Linked DNA regions of Caenorhabditis elegans. The protein of the gene in region 2 purifies or fractionates together with the protein of the main gene of each other region. This does not show direct contact. Each region holds a gene or a part of one and is shown on either strand. Other genes may lie near its edges.

Region 1 (5,786 bases), on a different chromosome or scaffold from region 2:
GAAATTCAGTTTTTTTGAAGAGAATATTATATTTCAAAGTATTTAGATGCGTTTTTCCATTCTCTCACAATTCTATGCTTTAAATAACGTCAATATTTATAACTTTAAAAAAGAAAAAAGAAGACACAATAAAAAAGAATGCGTGTTGGCCAGTTTGTGCATTCCGACGTGGTGGTGTTTGCGGACATTACACCAAGTGACGGTACGAAAATTGTTGGCCGTAGTAGATTACTGTCGATATTAAAAAAATTCAATTCAATATCCAGCACAAATTGGTGGTATTTATAAAATTTACAACGATAATCTTCTAGGAATGATTTTAAATATTTCAATGAGTTTTTTAAAATTCGAAATCACGGATAAAATGTGTTTTCGAGGATTGCAGTATCCCCTGTGATTCTTGCACTATAGGGAAAATATCTATATTTATTGCATTCCTGAATATTCCAGTTATACTTTATTTTTATAGAAAATAGGATCGAAATGTTTTCTCTGAAAAATTTGAAGTTGCAATCCAAAATTGTTATTTTAAAAAGATTTATTTCAAGAAAAAAGAGTATATATAAGTTGGTAAGTTTAGTGAAGACAGTCACGTCCTTCTCCTGGGAAAGATCCAGCAAGTTGAATGACTCCGGCATCGTAAATATTACGGACAGTCTGAAAATATTAATTTCAGTTTACTTCCAGTTTTTTTAATCTTCTTACCTTTCCCTTGTTGATGTAGCTATCTGGGATCTTGATAGTGAACTTGCGTTGGCAGGGCTGAAAATTCAATTATCTTAAAATGTAATAAAGTCATCCAGAAACCTTAATTCCATCATTGCAGTCATGGTAAATGTTAAGTTTTGGGTCGATTGGAGTCACTTCATCTTCGTGTCCAGAAATTTCAAAATCTCCGTTGCCATTGGTCTTTCCAGAAGCCATCAAATCATCGGCATCGATTCCTAGAAATAGACTTTTAGGAAATATTCAAAAAAGTTTTTGATTACCTCTATCATCATCATACAACTTGACCAAAACTCCAACAGCTGGTTTTCCATTGCAGATCAGTTTTCCACGTACTCCAGCCGATTGGGTATTTCCAATTAAAGCATAGCTTGAGGCAACAAGGCACAAAAGGATTATAAGCTTCATTCTGAAATTCTTTTGTTGAGAACAAAATGATAAAGTAAAAAAGGCCGGGATGGAAGAATGGAACCAACAAAGAACCAATAGCTATGCTCTCAGAAAACAACATGTTTACGAAATCTCAGGAAAAGATAAGAAAAAGAAGATAATTCGGAAAAAAAGAGAGATTTGTTGTTATATATCTTTTTGATAAAAAAAAAGCTTGACAGAAAAGTGTGGTTGTAGTCCACAAATTGTATTAGTTTCCATGGAAAATAAGTAGATTTAATCAATTTATATACACCTGTACGAGAAAATATACTAAGAGATGATCTGATTATTTGTTACCTCAAAGTATATCATTTTCAAAACAAATGGTGTATCAGACAATTGTAAACAAGTCAAACACCAACTAATTCATTAAAAAACATAAAAAACAAAAGTGACCTTTCAATTAGAATCAAACAAGTAGTCATACCTGGGAAACTCTAGCCAGGAAAACGTATCCGAAACTGTATGAAAAAAAATACAAAGAGAACAAACTCAATAAGATATGCCAAAGGTTGATGTCAACATTATGACCAAAACCTAAAAACAAACATCCGGCAAAGAGAAAGGTCAGAATAGGCATGTACGAAGGTAAATGGTTAACATGCAGGCTCTTAGGTAGACAGACCCACGATCATCATATTTCCCAACTAACATTCTTATTTACATGCCTGTTGCATGCCTTCCTTACGCCTGAAAGTGTTTAATTGAAGAATGTATTACTCAAAACACCTGCTTTCCTTTAACCTTCGATATAATTTTTGTTTAGTATATTTGTTTCTTTTCAACATTTCATTATTCTCCTTTCCATAGTAACACACCCAACAAAAAAAATGTAAAGAAAAGGGAATTATAGATTAGCTCCAAGCATCGTCCTTCTTTCCAAACTTTCTTCAAAATATTTTTTTACAACTATTATTCTTCCCCCAATGTCGTCATCTAGGAACTTTGATCTGGAGTACGACGATTACAAAGAACGACGGAATGCTGCTGGAATGGGAAGTCGTGCGAGCTCGAGGAATGGTGGAAGATTCAAGCCAATAGACAAAGAAAAAGAAAAAGAGAAGAAAGAGATTGGAGATTATGGATTGTAAGTACTTTTTTGATTTCTGGATTCATTGTCAGAAGTCAGTTGTATTAATAGCTTTCAAAATCCTAGACATCGTGCAGTTTTTCATGATCCGTTACCTCACTAGATACCTTGCAGACCCAAAAATGAGTATAAAATGCAAGGCTACGACGAACGGAGCTCAGATGTTGGAGCCGATCCATTGGCATCAGTCCGAACTCTCCGTAACAATCTCCGAGTCATGTCCCTTGAGCATCGTGACAAGGACGAACCTGTCAAATCACATTTGTGCCAATCAGCTTGTGATGATCTATCAAAAGCCGAGAAACAACTTGTCGATTTGAGTCACAAGAGAAGCGACGCAGTTGTCAGAGGAGACTCACGGCAGGCTGAACAGATAGCAAAGGATATGGATAGAGTGAAGTCTGATGCAATCAGAAATGCATATTCAGATTTAATGATGGAAGATGGAACTATGAAAGCATTTGGAGTCAATTCAAAATGGACACCTGATAAGAATCCAATGCCATCAGATGATTGGAAGCCAATGACACCTATGAAACCTAGGAAAAGAGCTGAAACACCAAAAGGAAGAAAAACTGAAAGTAGGCAAAGTAACAGAGGAAATAATGATAATGGAGATCAAAGAATGACGTCAAAGGCAACCACAAGATCCCCAGAACGGAGAGTTATTCCAACGGAACCATCAAAAGTAGACTGACATTAAAATAATAAATATTGGAAAAATAAAGTAACATTTCAGCCAAAAACAACTAGAAAAAATCAGCGCCTTTCAACTATCGGACACGTTCCAGAGGCAATTCCAGTAGTCGATACTCCGTTGCCAGGAGGATCCACAGTTCAGGATGATCCATATAAAATGCCAACATATGTGGGGTAAGGGAAGAGATCTAAATGTATATAAATTTCTACATATTTTCTAATTTCCAGAAGATGCCCACATTGTCAATTAACAGAGTCAGGTCTTGGTAGAGCAGGTGGAATGGAAAAACACTTTGCTAAATATTGCAAAGTTATGACAAGTTGCAAGTATTGTATGAAGTTGACAATGGTAGGCTCTTTTTCAGGTTTAAATCGTAAATTTCCATTTAGGTATCTCAACTCACTGATCACTTAATATATCGTTGTGAATTTCTCCAAGACACGATGGAAGCTTGTAATGACTGTGGATTAGCAATTGAGAAAGAAGATCAAAAACGTGGAGGAAGTCATCCAATGTGTCGTGGAAGACGTCCCCCGACAGGAGCACAATGGTGTCCTTTGTGCACAATTGCAGTGGAGGATAATGAAGAGAATTGGAGAGAACATTTATTAAATAATTGTTATAATAATCAACGGAGAGATGGTCCAGAAAAAGATCCATGGGAGATGAAACAAGAGCAAGAAGATATTTTGTATGTTTTTGTTTTATTAGTTTCTGTGGTGGTACTTTTCTGAAAATCAGGGCTTGAAATTAATTTCGAAATGAATAGTTTAGCGAGTATATGAAGTTATGTGGTCCGCTGAGCGTGATGTGCACCTATAAATAGTTTCACTTATTTCCCTATACTTTCATTTTTTGAAGCAATGAACAAAGTTTCCAAAAAATGCAAAGATTTTAAGAGTTTATTATTTTGTTATTTGAATGCAGAAAACATCCGTACTGACCCTACAACACCTTTAATCCAATTTTTCAGACTTGGAGCAAAAGAAAAGAAGAAGCGTGAAATGGAGGAAGAAGAGCGACTGAAAAAAGAAGCGGAAATAAGACGGCAACAGCAACAAGTTGTTGTGAATAATACAGGATATCCTGGAAAAATGATCGACGCCGATAAGTTGGTGGTGGCTCTTCAAGAGATTCAAGAACGCAAGAAAGCAGAGAAAAAGAAGAAATTGAAGGATATTGAGAAGGAGACTTGAATACTGTGTTTTTTCTACTGCAGTTAACTGTGGCAGTTCATTTCTTGGTTCTCTTGTCGTGTCAAAAAAAAAGAACTGATATCTGTGCTGTCAAATTAGTATAATTTGTTAAATGAAATACGGTAATTGGATCACGATTATTGATGAATTATCAATTTGCGAATTATTTATTTATCTATATCTCTGTCCCCCATTTATTGTATTTTCCAAATTTGTAGTACATTTTTCCTGAAAATGCAAACTTTTTAAAAGTTCCGATGTAATAATAAGAATATATTTTTATTGACAAATACTTGGTGTACATATTATGCTTTTTATAAAAATATTATTACAGCACCCAATATCACAATCAAAAGATCATAACTGAACGTCTTCCCATTTTTAACCGCACTCTCTGCAATTGGCCTGTAATCTTCCTTATTCTTCGGACATCCATCAGCTGACCATCTGTACAAGTCCATATTAAAATAATGTGCATGGTCGGCATTTGACAGGTTCTGCACCTGACTGCTGAAAAAATCAAACATTTTTGTTGATAGTTGCTGATAAGAAATGTTGCGAAAACCTGCAAAACGGTTGATCTGCTTGCTCGCAAATGACAAAAGAGTCGCCTTCACGCATATCATTGTTGTACCAAACTTCACTTCGTGGGTGATAAAGTGTTGTGTTATCAATATTATCAAAGAAAGGGAGACGTGGTGCATAGTCATGTGCGTGGATAATGTGGTAAGAATATGGAAACTGAAATATGAACTTTTAAACTTAGACGTTCTCTATTTATCTCGTTACGTTGGTACTATGCCACATTGCAAAATCATAATCTGTACATCTAGGACATCCAAATAAAATTACTTTCATATTGTAAGGAGAGCTCATTCCAGTTTGAGCAATGAATGCAGATGTAAGTAATGCAATTGATGCACCCATCGAGTACCCAGTTATCTGAAATTCTGGGGTTGAGGGGATTCACTTCAGGTGTTGAAAATGAAACGAAATGTTTTTAAGAATTCGTGATACTGAAACTTCACTTCCCAACATTTTAAAAGTTAAGGTTTAAATTAATAACAAGAACCGTACTTCGTGTGACGTCACACAACTCAAACCTTGACTTCCCGCAATATTCATGTTGTCGTGTTTATTGTACTGTCTTAAACTATACATCCATACTTAATAATTTTCAAACCCTTTACCCACCCATAACTGATAATCCGGATAGGCATCAATCAAATTTTGCAAATCTTCACCCAATCCACTATACCATAATGATTCAAAGTTGTCATTAAACTTCTTCGTAACTCTTCCAATATTTAGAAATGGGACTGTTCCACTGAAATTAATCTGATTTTAAGAGTAAAATATGTTAAAACCAACTTAAAATTTCCGATTTTCCACAAATCATAATATTGATGATCACCGTGTGATCCACGAACCGAGAGAACGATTACTTTTCGGTCGAAATCAATTCCAGTGTATCCAGAACAAGTTACATCTAAAACGAAGCAGTATGATTGAATTCCGAGAAAAATTTGGATTTACCTGAGAAAAGTGAGGAGCAGTTTGCCTCACGCCGTTTATAGACTTTCATAGAAGGAAGTTGGTTGCTGAAAATTCTTATTTTGAACATTGTCTTATTAGTTTTTAT
Region 2 (9,903 bases):
ACTCTCAGAACACATTTTGGAAGTAGATAAAATTTGGAAGTAGATTTTAAAAGATTAGAGTCATGTTAAAAGCTAAAAAAAAAAGTAAAGTGCAAAATTTTAAATATTTCTTATAATTAGAAAAACTCACAAATCCATCAGCGTTCTCATCAAGCTCACTAATTCTCTCTACTGCTTCTCTATCAACAGTTTTCTGATATGATTCGGATACCCATGCAAGAATTTCACTTTTATCTGAAACATCATTGGTACATATATTGGATTTTCTATTCTTATATTATAGAAAGTCTAAATATTACCTACAAAACCATCATTATTTGTATCCAAAGCTTTCGCAAATTTTTCTACGCTTTCTTGGCCAGATTTTAAGTTTAATTTCTGCTCAGAAGCTGGCTTTTTATGATCTGACGGGGAAACAGAACCATCCATCTGTAAAACAGTTTTTATAAATTTTAAGATTTTGAATTGAAAAATCGAACCATCCGCTCTTTTTCTGCGAAAATCGATACAATGATGGAGAATATTATGCATTGCTTAAACCGCATTTGTAAGAAAATCTGGAATTTTTGTTTTGGGATAATAATTGAATGTTTTTTCGATGAAATCTATTAAAACAGACTTAAAATTCTTCATAATTAAGAAAAATCCATTTTTCCAATATTTGCTAAAAAGGCACCTCGTGGACTAGTTTCCACATGGCCGAGCTATCTCGTGTACTCCTCTCGAACATCGATTTTTTTCCTTCGGCGCGTTTTCCAGTTGGATTCAATTTTAAAATCTTCTTGTTCTTCAGAAATTTCTACCCGAAAATGTCACCAATTCAAAGAATAGAGTTTTCCGAAAAGATATGCAATCGAGATCTCAACGGATATGTTCTTTATTCAACAGAAAGTGCATGGATTTGGGTTGGAGAAAGGTATTTTAAATTTTTTTTATTCATCTTTTAAAAAATAAAGCTATTCGTTTCAATTATGAAATCAAGCTATTTGATAAAAAACCATAGTCAAAAATGAACAGTTTGTTTAAAAATGTTAGTTTTCAGTAAAATCGATTCAATCGGGCTTGCACATTTTCCAAACTTCACAATGCTCGTCGATGGAGAGAATACGCAACGAGAATTCATTAAATCAACTACTCTTCGGTTAACAAAAACATCGAGATTCACACAGGTATTTTTGAAAAAACGTTCATTTCGAAATAAAAAACTCGAGGAAATTCTCATTTTTATCTGAAACCGATGCAACCAGAAAAACCAAAAAAAAACAACATTTTGTTTTTGAGAGATTGAATTTATTCTAAAAAATTCCGTATTTCAAGTATTTTCTCAAATATTGTGTAATATTAGCTTGGAAATTATGAACAAAAAGTTATAATTGATGATCATGTCGCAATTATAATTTTTAGGCAGAAAATAATTTTCGTAACAAAATTTTCGCTGAAAATAATTTTTTTCGAAAATTAAAATAAGGCCACTTTTGCTTAAATGGGTGTGACTACTTCCGCGGTAATGAAAAATAAATTATATGAAAAGAACAAAACTCCACACATTTTTAAAAACCTTTTTTTGTAAAAAATAACCTTTGGCTTAAAAATCGAGAAATCAAATAATGTATTCATTAAAATATTTGCAGGTATTCTTCACAACAGACATCGAATGCGAAGAAGGTCTATTCTGGAAGGCTCTCAATGACAATATGATGGAAAAACTGAACGCCCTGAACACGAACTAATTTTTTAATTTTTTGTTAAATTTTTAGTATATTGCCTGAAAGTTCCGTACGGGTTTTCATAGAATAAACATATATTTTTAAGTAAATCTATGGCTTGTCGCATCTCTGTGAATTTCATTTAGAAAACTAAATGCAAGTGGTTTAAAATAACAAGAATAATTCTTCGCTAAAATTGCTCATTTTTGGCTGCAACTTACGCAAAAAAGAAAACAATCGAAAAATTTCAAATTTATATGATGAACTTGTTTGGGTGTGAAAAGAATAGGAAGGAAAGCAGGGAAATGGGATGGAGAACAAACAAAAAAGTAGTTTTTTTTGAAGAATAAGAAGAAACATTTGGAGAAGAAGTTGAAGCAAATTATGCACAGGTATCATGTAATTTACGAAAGAAAAAAAAACACGGAGAAAAATGATTTAGAGACGATCCAAAGAGATTTCAGCCTCTTCTGGGTATTCAAGCTCCCAGATTCTCTTCAAGTGCTTGCCCTTAACGTCACGTGGTGCTCCGAATGATGTCATCTTCTGAAAAATTATGAAAAATTAGAATTTGTTTCAATAATTTGTTTTTTTTTAAAGGAAATCGTAGTTTTAAACTTAAAAGTTTGGTCATTTTTCTTCTTTTTAGAATGTATTTATATGTTTTTTTAAAATCAACTTGCACATAATTTGATAATACGGTACCTGCTCTCGCCACGATCGAAATATTTTGAAAATCGAGGCCGCGCAAAAATGTTTGCAAAAAGGTATGCGCCTTTGAATAATACAGTAACGGTTTTTCTACCATTTTAGGTTTCTATTAGGGGTGTCAATAAGTTCCGGGTCAAAATTCATAACTTTTTTCGTGGCGAATCGATTTTTCTGAAAATGTGGGAATTTATGTGATCAAACATGGTCTTTCATTTGACGGTACTTTCAAAAAGTTTTGACCACTCCATGTATCCCAGCTCGGAGACACTTTTTTCAGGCGTATGCCTGATCTCGCTTCTTTGTAACTTTCAATTGAGACTTATGTGCGGATTTTGATTAATTAAGTATACAATGTAAAAATACAATAAAAATTTAAGAAAAAATTGGTTCAAAAAAAAATTTTTTTTGGTTTGTCAAAAAATCCTCGAAAAAATTTTTGTCGAAAGTTCTTGATTTTTTGTACAGGAATGATGCAACCAAGTCTGAACAATTTAACACACAAAACTTTTGAATTTAACATTTAGATTTAGAGAAATTCTCAAAAATTTCAAAAAATGGACTAAAAAATCATAAAAATCACGTTTCAAAAGTTTTGTGTGTTAAAAATTGTTCAGACTTGGTTGCATCATTCCTGTACAAAAAATCAAGAACTTTCGACAAAAATTTTTTCGAGGATTTTTTGACGAACCAAAAAAAAATTTTTTTTGAACCAATTGTTTCTTAAATTTTTATTGTATTTTTACATTGTATACTTAATTAATCAAAATCCGCACATAAGTCTCAATTGAAAGTTACAAAGAAGCGAGATCAGGCATACGCCTGAAAAAAGTGTCTCCGAGCTGGGATACATGGAGTGGTCAAAACTTTTTGAAAGTACCGTCAAATGAAAGACCATGTTTGATCACATAAATTCCCACATTTTCAGAAAAATCGATTCGCCACGAAAAAAGTTATGAATTTTGACCCGGAACTTATTGACACCCCTACTATTAAAAATATTCCTAGCGGAAAAGTTACACAAGTTCTACTCTCAAAGGCACAGGCTTAATTTTAAAATATCCGATCGTGTCAAGACCTCGGACTTAGGGAATTATAGAATTAAACACGTTGGTGATAGAAATTCGCGAGAATCTACAAATAGTTTCTGAATACAGGACAAATTCAGGATACACTAGAATGTCATAATCAAGGGTTCCGTTATATGTTATTAACAATCGACAAACCTTCTGTGAGTCTCCCTTGTTCCATCCAGCTTGACTTGGAATGATGGTCTCAGACACCTTCATTGCCTCATATGGAAGCTCTCCTCCTTCAGCCTCGAATGTTGTGTTTCTGCATGTTCCGAAGCCAATCATACCCTGAAAATGAATTTTATTTATTTAAATTCTATAAATAATCTAAAGAAAACTTACAGCTTGAGAAGCAAAACGGTTGGTACCAGATTGAAGACGGACCATTCCCTGGGATTTACGGTTTTGCCATGAGATTGATGGGTCGAGAACTTCCCAACGTGGCTGTCCGAATCCAGTCATACCCTTCTGTGAAGCATATTGATTAGATCCCATCTGAGATGGAATTGTGGTTTGATCAATGGAACATTCATGAGAGTAATCTGGATGGTTAGAATCAACCATCTTTGTGGTCTCACGACGAGCAGTTCCGAAACCGGTCATTCCCTTTTGTGAAGCGAATTTGTTTGTTCCAGACTGAAGTGGAATTTCAGATTGATCTGGTTTCTCGTGATCGTATTCTGGATGCTTTGAGTCAACCATCTTAGTTGTCTCACGACGTCCAGTTCCGAATCCGGTCATTCCCTTTTGAGAATCATATTTGTTGGTACCGGCTTGAAGACGGACAATTCCCTCGGACATACGGATCTTTTCTTCTGGAAGCTCCTGTAAAAAAATATATATATGTTAATTATTGTTTATTTGCGTTCACAAAAGAATATCCCTGATCTTTAAATCAAGTATTTGTTCATCCGTTACTCTAAGTTCACAGAAAAAAATACCGTAATCTATAAGACGTTCCACACACATTGGAACAGAAATGTGGGAAATTAGAGAAATAATTTATTTTGTTTCTGTCACTTTTTTTTACTGAAGTGATGAAAGGTTACAGAGCTACTATGTAAAAGTAACTTACAGCCAAGTCAGCTGGGTTCTGAGCGACACGGACTCCCTCACGGCACACATCACGTCCGGATCCGAATCCGGTCATTCCTCTCTGGGAGCAATATTTGTTGGTTCCGGATTGAAGACGAACTTCTCCATGGGTTCGGTTGGCAATATCTTCTGGGATTTCCTGGAAAATTTATATTTGAAAATTTTGGAATTCCTTTAAATACTTGACGTTGAATGAAACAAATTGTGGAGGTACCAAGAAATGACATTTAAAGATTTTTTTCATTTCAGAAGAGATAAAGTGAGTAAGAACCTTTGAAGTTTTGTATCCTTAAAGACAAATAACATAAACGGTGACCTAGATTTTGCTTCTATTAAAATAAATTCTTCCACATACCCAAGTAAATCTGACCATAAAATTTCCATACCTGAAGGTTCTCAGACTTGACACGAGTGTTAGTGTTTCTTGGTGTTCCGAAGTTGGTCATCAACTTTTGTGAGTCTCCCTTGTTCCATCCGGCCTGGCTTGGAATAATTCCGTCAGTTTGACGGAGTTGAGCCAATGTCCAGCGTCCGACACGCTTTGGCTGACCTTGTCCGGTGACTTTGGTCTCCATGGTGGCATTTGGTTGCTCCTCTGAAAATAAACGAAAATTTGAATATAGGAGCGGTTAAGTTTGAAGTGATTTCTCTGATTTTTGATAACTGTTGCTTTTTTTTGATTTCCGAAAAAACTGGTTATCAGTAATAAGTGTCTGGACATGGGACAAAGACTAAGACAGCACACAGTTATCTCAAATAAAATTTGAGATATTAGTTAAGACGCAAAGAAAAACAAAAAAACCTCGAATTTGTTGAATTGGTTGCTCCTGATTGTCATAATAATAAACAGGGTGTGGTGACACAATTGTTGGAATTTTAGTTTCTTGAGCACGAGCTTGTGTAATTGGAGTTTGAGTTTTTATTGGGATTTGAACAGGCTCTGAATCCCCAGCAGCAGAAGCTTTTCCCGTCATTTCTGGATAGTCTCCATATCCACGTGGCGATCGTGGTGCAGCCACGAATTGCCGATAATTGGTTGGAGCTTGAGATGTTGGTTGAGGCTGAAGCCCGCGTTGCTCGGAAACAAAATTCGGAACAATTGAAGACTTTGGAGATGTAACTTGTACGTGTGGTACTGGTTTATACTCCTCAAGAGCTGAATTTGTTGTTGGATTCTTTCCGGTAAATTGAATCGGAATATTTCGTTCGCGCGACGCCGTATTGGGTCGCAATCGTTCGAGAGCTTCCGACTGTCTTGGACTTAGTCCACTTGGATAGAAATGCTCAGGAAATAGTTTTGCAGATTGTTGTTGTGGTGGTCCAATTGATGATGATGATGACATTAAATATCTTGATGAAGCAGATTGAAAACTAGATGCAGATGTTGTGTTGTTGAATGATAACATTCTTTAAACCAATTGTTTAAAATATTTCACAAAAATGAAACCAAAAAATGAGCACAGTGGACAAGAAAGTTCACAGAGGACAGTACGGAATGCACAGAAAAGAGAGAGAAAATAGAAAAATGATGAGCGGAGGAGGGTCTCGGCACGAAAACTGGTTCTAGTTAATAAAGTACCAGGAGCGAGAGATGAGTAAAGAAAAACGTGATTACTCTTCCAACGAACACATATGTTTGAACTTTTACTTGGAGGAACAAGGCGAACTTTTTGTTCGAACAAAAACTAGGCAGAACAGCACTCAAAATGTTTGTAAATTTTGTGGGAAATATTATGAGACGTAGAGAAAAAGTGGATTTTGGAGATCCTTTTTGATTGTTTAGGTGTCTAGGAGGTTGCTCATAGTACTAGAACAATAGAGATGGAAGGCCTTGCAGGGCAAATTTTTATTTTCCAATTTCATTAGTGGTTGCCTAGCAAGGCAAATTCCTAAATGCTTACAATATTCAAACTATATCAGTGCCTTTCTAACAGATAACAGTCTTAGAGCGGTAATTATATACTAGCTGGGATTTGTATAACTAGTTAGATGAGGAATGAGGCTTAGGATTAGGCTCAGACTTTCCGGCATACATTAGAGATAGTTAAATTTTTATTGATAGCTCTGATTCTCAACCATTTTTGACTTGAAATCTTAAAGTCTAAAAATAGCAGGCCGGTAAAAAACTAAACTCATATTAAAATATTAACTTTGAACAAAAACATTATCAACCTTTAGGGTTTTCTATATACTAAGTTTACTATAAATCATCTAAGCAAGTAAAGCAAAATCTTTGATCAGTCTAGAACACTTTCTATTTCATTTTATATGAGTCTTCCAATTGAACCAATCAACCGTACTCTTGAATCTCTTTTCACCTAATGAGCGCAAACCATTATCTACACACAAAAACTTGTGAGCCTTAACCCAAAAAAGTGAGATCTGAAGTGGTTGATTGCGCGAGAAGCTTCTTCTTTCTCTCGTCCCTCTCTACTCTATTTCTCTTTATCGGAGAATAAGTTTTAAATAAGTTAGAAAAAAAGAAAAAAAGTTGAAGAAACTAACTGTTAGAAAAGAACAATATTGTATTATTTGAGAAGTCTCTGCTTCTCTCTTTTACTTCCAATTGTTCTTCCTGCTATTTGTTCTCTATAATCTCTCGAGAACATATACTATTTCTTTAGGAGGAGATAGTTTCTCTTAAAAAAGTGATGGAAGATCATTAGAAAAGGAGTCTCTGTGTTGGCTGTTCGGTTTAAGTTTTCGGTTACTACAGAGGTCGCAGCACCATACCCGAAAAGATTAGTGGGAGCATCGAACAAGGGAATTAGAGAGAAGAATTACTATAGATTATATTTATTTTCAAATTTCGTATCGAAATAAAAATTCTTTAAAAGGTAAATTTTAGAATGCATAATGCTTCGAGGCTTTTGTAGATTGGTAAATGCTCACTGGATTGAACCAGTTTAAAAATTATCATTTCATTGTAGAGATCTACAGTCTAAAAATTGTTAATATATATCTACAGAAAAAAAACGTTTCACCATTATACATAAACTTGCAAGTTATTCAAATTTTTAATAAAAATCAATTTACTATATATAAAGCGCGTGTCGTTACGTCACTATGTAGTTTGATCTCTGATCAGAGTAACGGCAAAACATCTGAAAACTGAAGAAAAAATCGTAAAATCTATCAAATTTGATGATTAGCTCATAGACACGCACTCACATAACACACAAAATATACAAATTTTTGACAGTTTTGACCTATTTTCCCGCCCCCGCTCCTGACGCGAAGGCAAACAACAAAGGTTCGGAAAGCGAGGAGAAGGAGTTGAAGCCCATTTTTCGGAGATATGGTTCATCGTTGGTCAGAAGCTTATTGAAAGTTTGCACAGTTTGGAAACACCTTTTTTAAAAAGTTAAATACCCTATTTTTTCTATTACGCTCGCACGATCACTGCTAGACTTTAAACGTTGCTGTTTCAGTGTAATTTGAAATATTAAAATTTATGAAATTTCAAAAATCACAATTTTCAGCATTTTCAGAGATTTGAAACTATTTATAAATCTTTATATTTCTTCTTCGGATATCGAAGTAAAAATGACTCACCAGCAACAACTTGATCCTCAGTTGGCGGCATCCTTCCTCTGAAATCAATTAACGATATTAAATTAATCATTAAAAAAAAAAAAGAGAGTTGACAGAAAAAAAACGAATAGAAATGTTCATGTAATAAACGTAGACAATGCAATATAAAACAACGAGGGAAAACCTTTTCAATAGTTTTTTTTCTGATGTATATAGTCAGGAGGGCGAGAGTTGAAAAAAGTTGTTTCTTCTCTACGAATCATCGTTTTTTTTCTTGTACATATACACAAAGAAAAATAACAGACAAAAATCATGGATTCTCTTTTGTAGCGATCTTTTCGGAAGTTTTTCATATGGTGCAGAGTAGTTTGATTAAGGAGAAAAGGTTAAGCTTCATTTCTCAAATTAGCTGATACATTTTATTATTTTAAAAGAAATCAGACTAATAAGTTTTGGCCTCAACTACTTGAACCACAAGATTTCCAGTCAGAATTTCCCAATTTTTCACTAGACCGTAAAATTAAATTTCAGTTTTTAGGAACGAAATTCGGTCGAAATGGCCCGTGTCATTCAAATGTTTTCCGGCTGTAATTTGAAAAAAAAACTGTAATATTTCAAACTTGTAAAGTTTAGAATCTTGTCAGTGTAATATTGCTTCAAAATTCAAAGAGTTATTAGTAATCAGTGATAAATAAGAAAACAGGTGACAACAAGTGATGAGAGGATGACAATTAGAGAAATAGTGTAAGGATTATTGTGGATTAGAGATAAGCGGGAGCCTTCGCTTGACAGAGCAACAGACGAAACAGTAGTTGTTGTAATATGAGAATTTGTTTTCTAGTCGAATGGGAAAGTATTATTAGTTCGAAAAAGTACAGTATTCTTTTAGAAATGCAATCATTTTTCCTAAAAATTTTAATTCTAATAAATACGATTCTACCACCGCAATCGTAGTAATTTTCTATGCAGGGTTAGATACAAAATTTAAAGGCTAAAAAACCTTGATTTGTTTCACAGGAGTATAATTTTATAAATTTAATTTTCTGAATAAAAAATAATTGAACTTAGTGTATAATTTTCAAATTTTTCATTCTACAAAAATTGAATATTTTCATGATGTATTTTTAAATGTATTTTCCAGAAAACTGTAATTTCCAAACAAAATTCGTTTTGAAAAAACTGTAGAAAATTCAAAAATCAACTGAATTTTTAGATGACTAACAAAAAGGTAAAGAAATTCGAGTGATGATCTCAAGTTCTAAGAAGAAATGAAATTGGAAAAACAAAAAGTGAGTGGGAGTGTAGGGACCTCGGCGGCTCCCGCGAGTAGAAGCATCAGCTCATTGTGCTCATCATCGACTGGCATCTGATAGAAATAGAGAGAAAGAGATTTTAGAGCGAAGAAGCTTCTTCTTCTCTGTTACACATTCTGCCGCCCGCCCCCTCATGGCAGCCATGAAGACGCGGGCATTTTCAACCAACAATCGTGTGCCTAGAATCTCCAGGATATCTGTGATCTTTTGTTGAATGGACTGAGAAAAACGGATACAGATTACGGTAGTTCTTCACACTTTTCCAACTGACTGACTGATCGAAGAGCGAAACTATTTGGAAAGGAGGACCCAGGATTCTTTTTTTTGCTGAGAAAAATATTGATGATAATTGAGGTGCTATGGTGATGAATTGTAGTGATAAGAAGTTGATTTCTGGGAATATGTGGTTTTAAATATCTTTTAACTCAATCATTGCCCAGAAAAGTTTTGGAGAAACTTTTGAAATAAAACAAA

The links.
Region 1: the proteins of unc-87 (region 2) and ttr-5 fractionate together in Caenorhabditis elegans (co-fractionation; one large-scale study listed by BioGRID). This does not show direct contact.

The regions. Positions count from the first base shown.
Region 1 is NC_003281.10:9,325,665-9,331,450, reverse strand, and holds ttr-5 (Transthyretin-like protein 5), read right to left. Parts: upstream 1,136-5,786; 5' UTR 1,135-1,135; coding exon 990-1,134; intron 945-989; coding exon 808-944; intron 763-807; coding exon 706-762; intron 658-705; coding exon 577-657; 3' UTR 523-576; downstream 1-522. Other genes in the region: cepr-104.1 (CEntrosomal Protein Related), read left to right, coding at 2,085-2,245, 2,363-2,936, 2,988-3,121, 3,176-3,296, 3,338-3,639, 3,922-4,144; C40H1.7 (Fungal lipase-type domain-containing protein), read right to left, coding at 4,459-4,654, 4,710-4,885, 4,934-5,086, 5,339-5,471, 5,516-5,633, 5,681-5,745.
Region 2 is NC_003279.8:6,759,623-6,769,525, forward strand, and holds unc-87 (Protein unc-87), read right to left. Parts: upstream 6,069-9,903; 5' UTR 5,989-6,068; coding exon 5,385-5,988; intron 5,178-5,384; coding exon 4,969-5,177; intron 4,722-4,968; coding exon 4,563-4,721; intron 4,313-4,562; coding exon 3,830-4,312; intron 3,776-3,829; coding exon 3,641-3,775; intron 2,253-3,640; coding exon 2,145-2,252; 3' UTR 1,731-2,144; coding exon of another isoform or gene 1,632-1,730; 3' UTR 1,599-1,631; downstream 1-1,598. Other genes in the region: calu-2 (EF-hand domain-containing protein), read right to left, coding at 131-234, 300-429, 480-545; F08B6.1 (BPH_3 domain-containing protein), read left to right, coding at 810-916, 1,043-1,169, 1,632-1,730. UniProt on the Caenorhabditis elegans protein: Thin filament-associated protein that is implicated in actin bundling and actin filament dynamics. Exhibits F-actin cross-linking activity. Required for the maintenance of sarcomeric actin organization in striated muscles.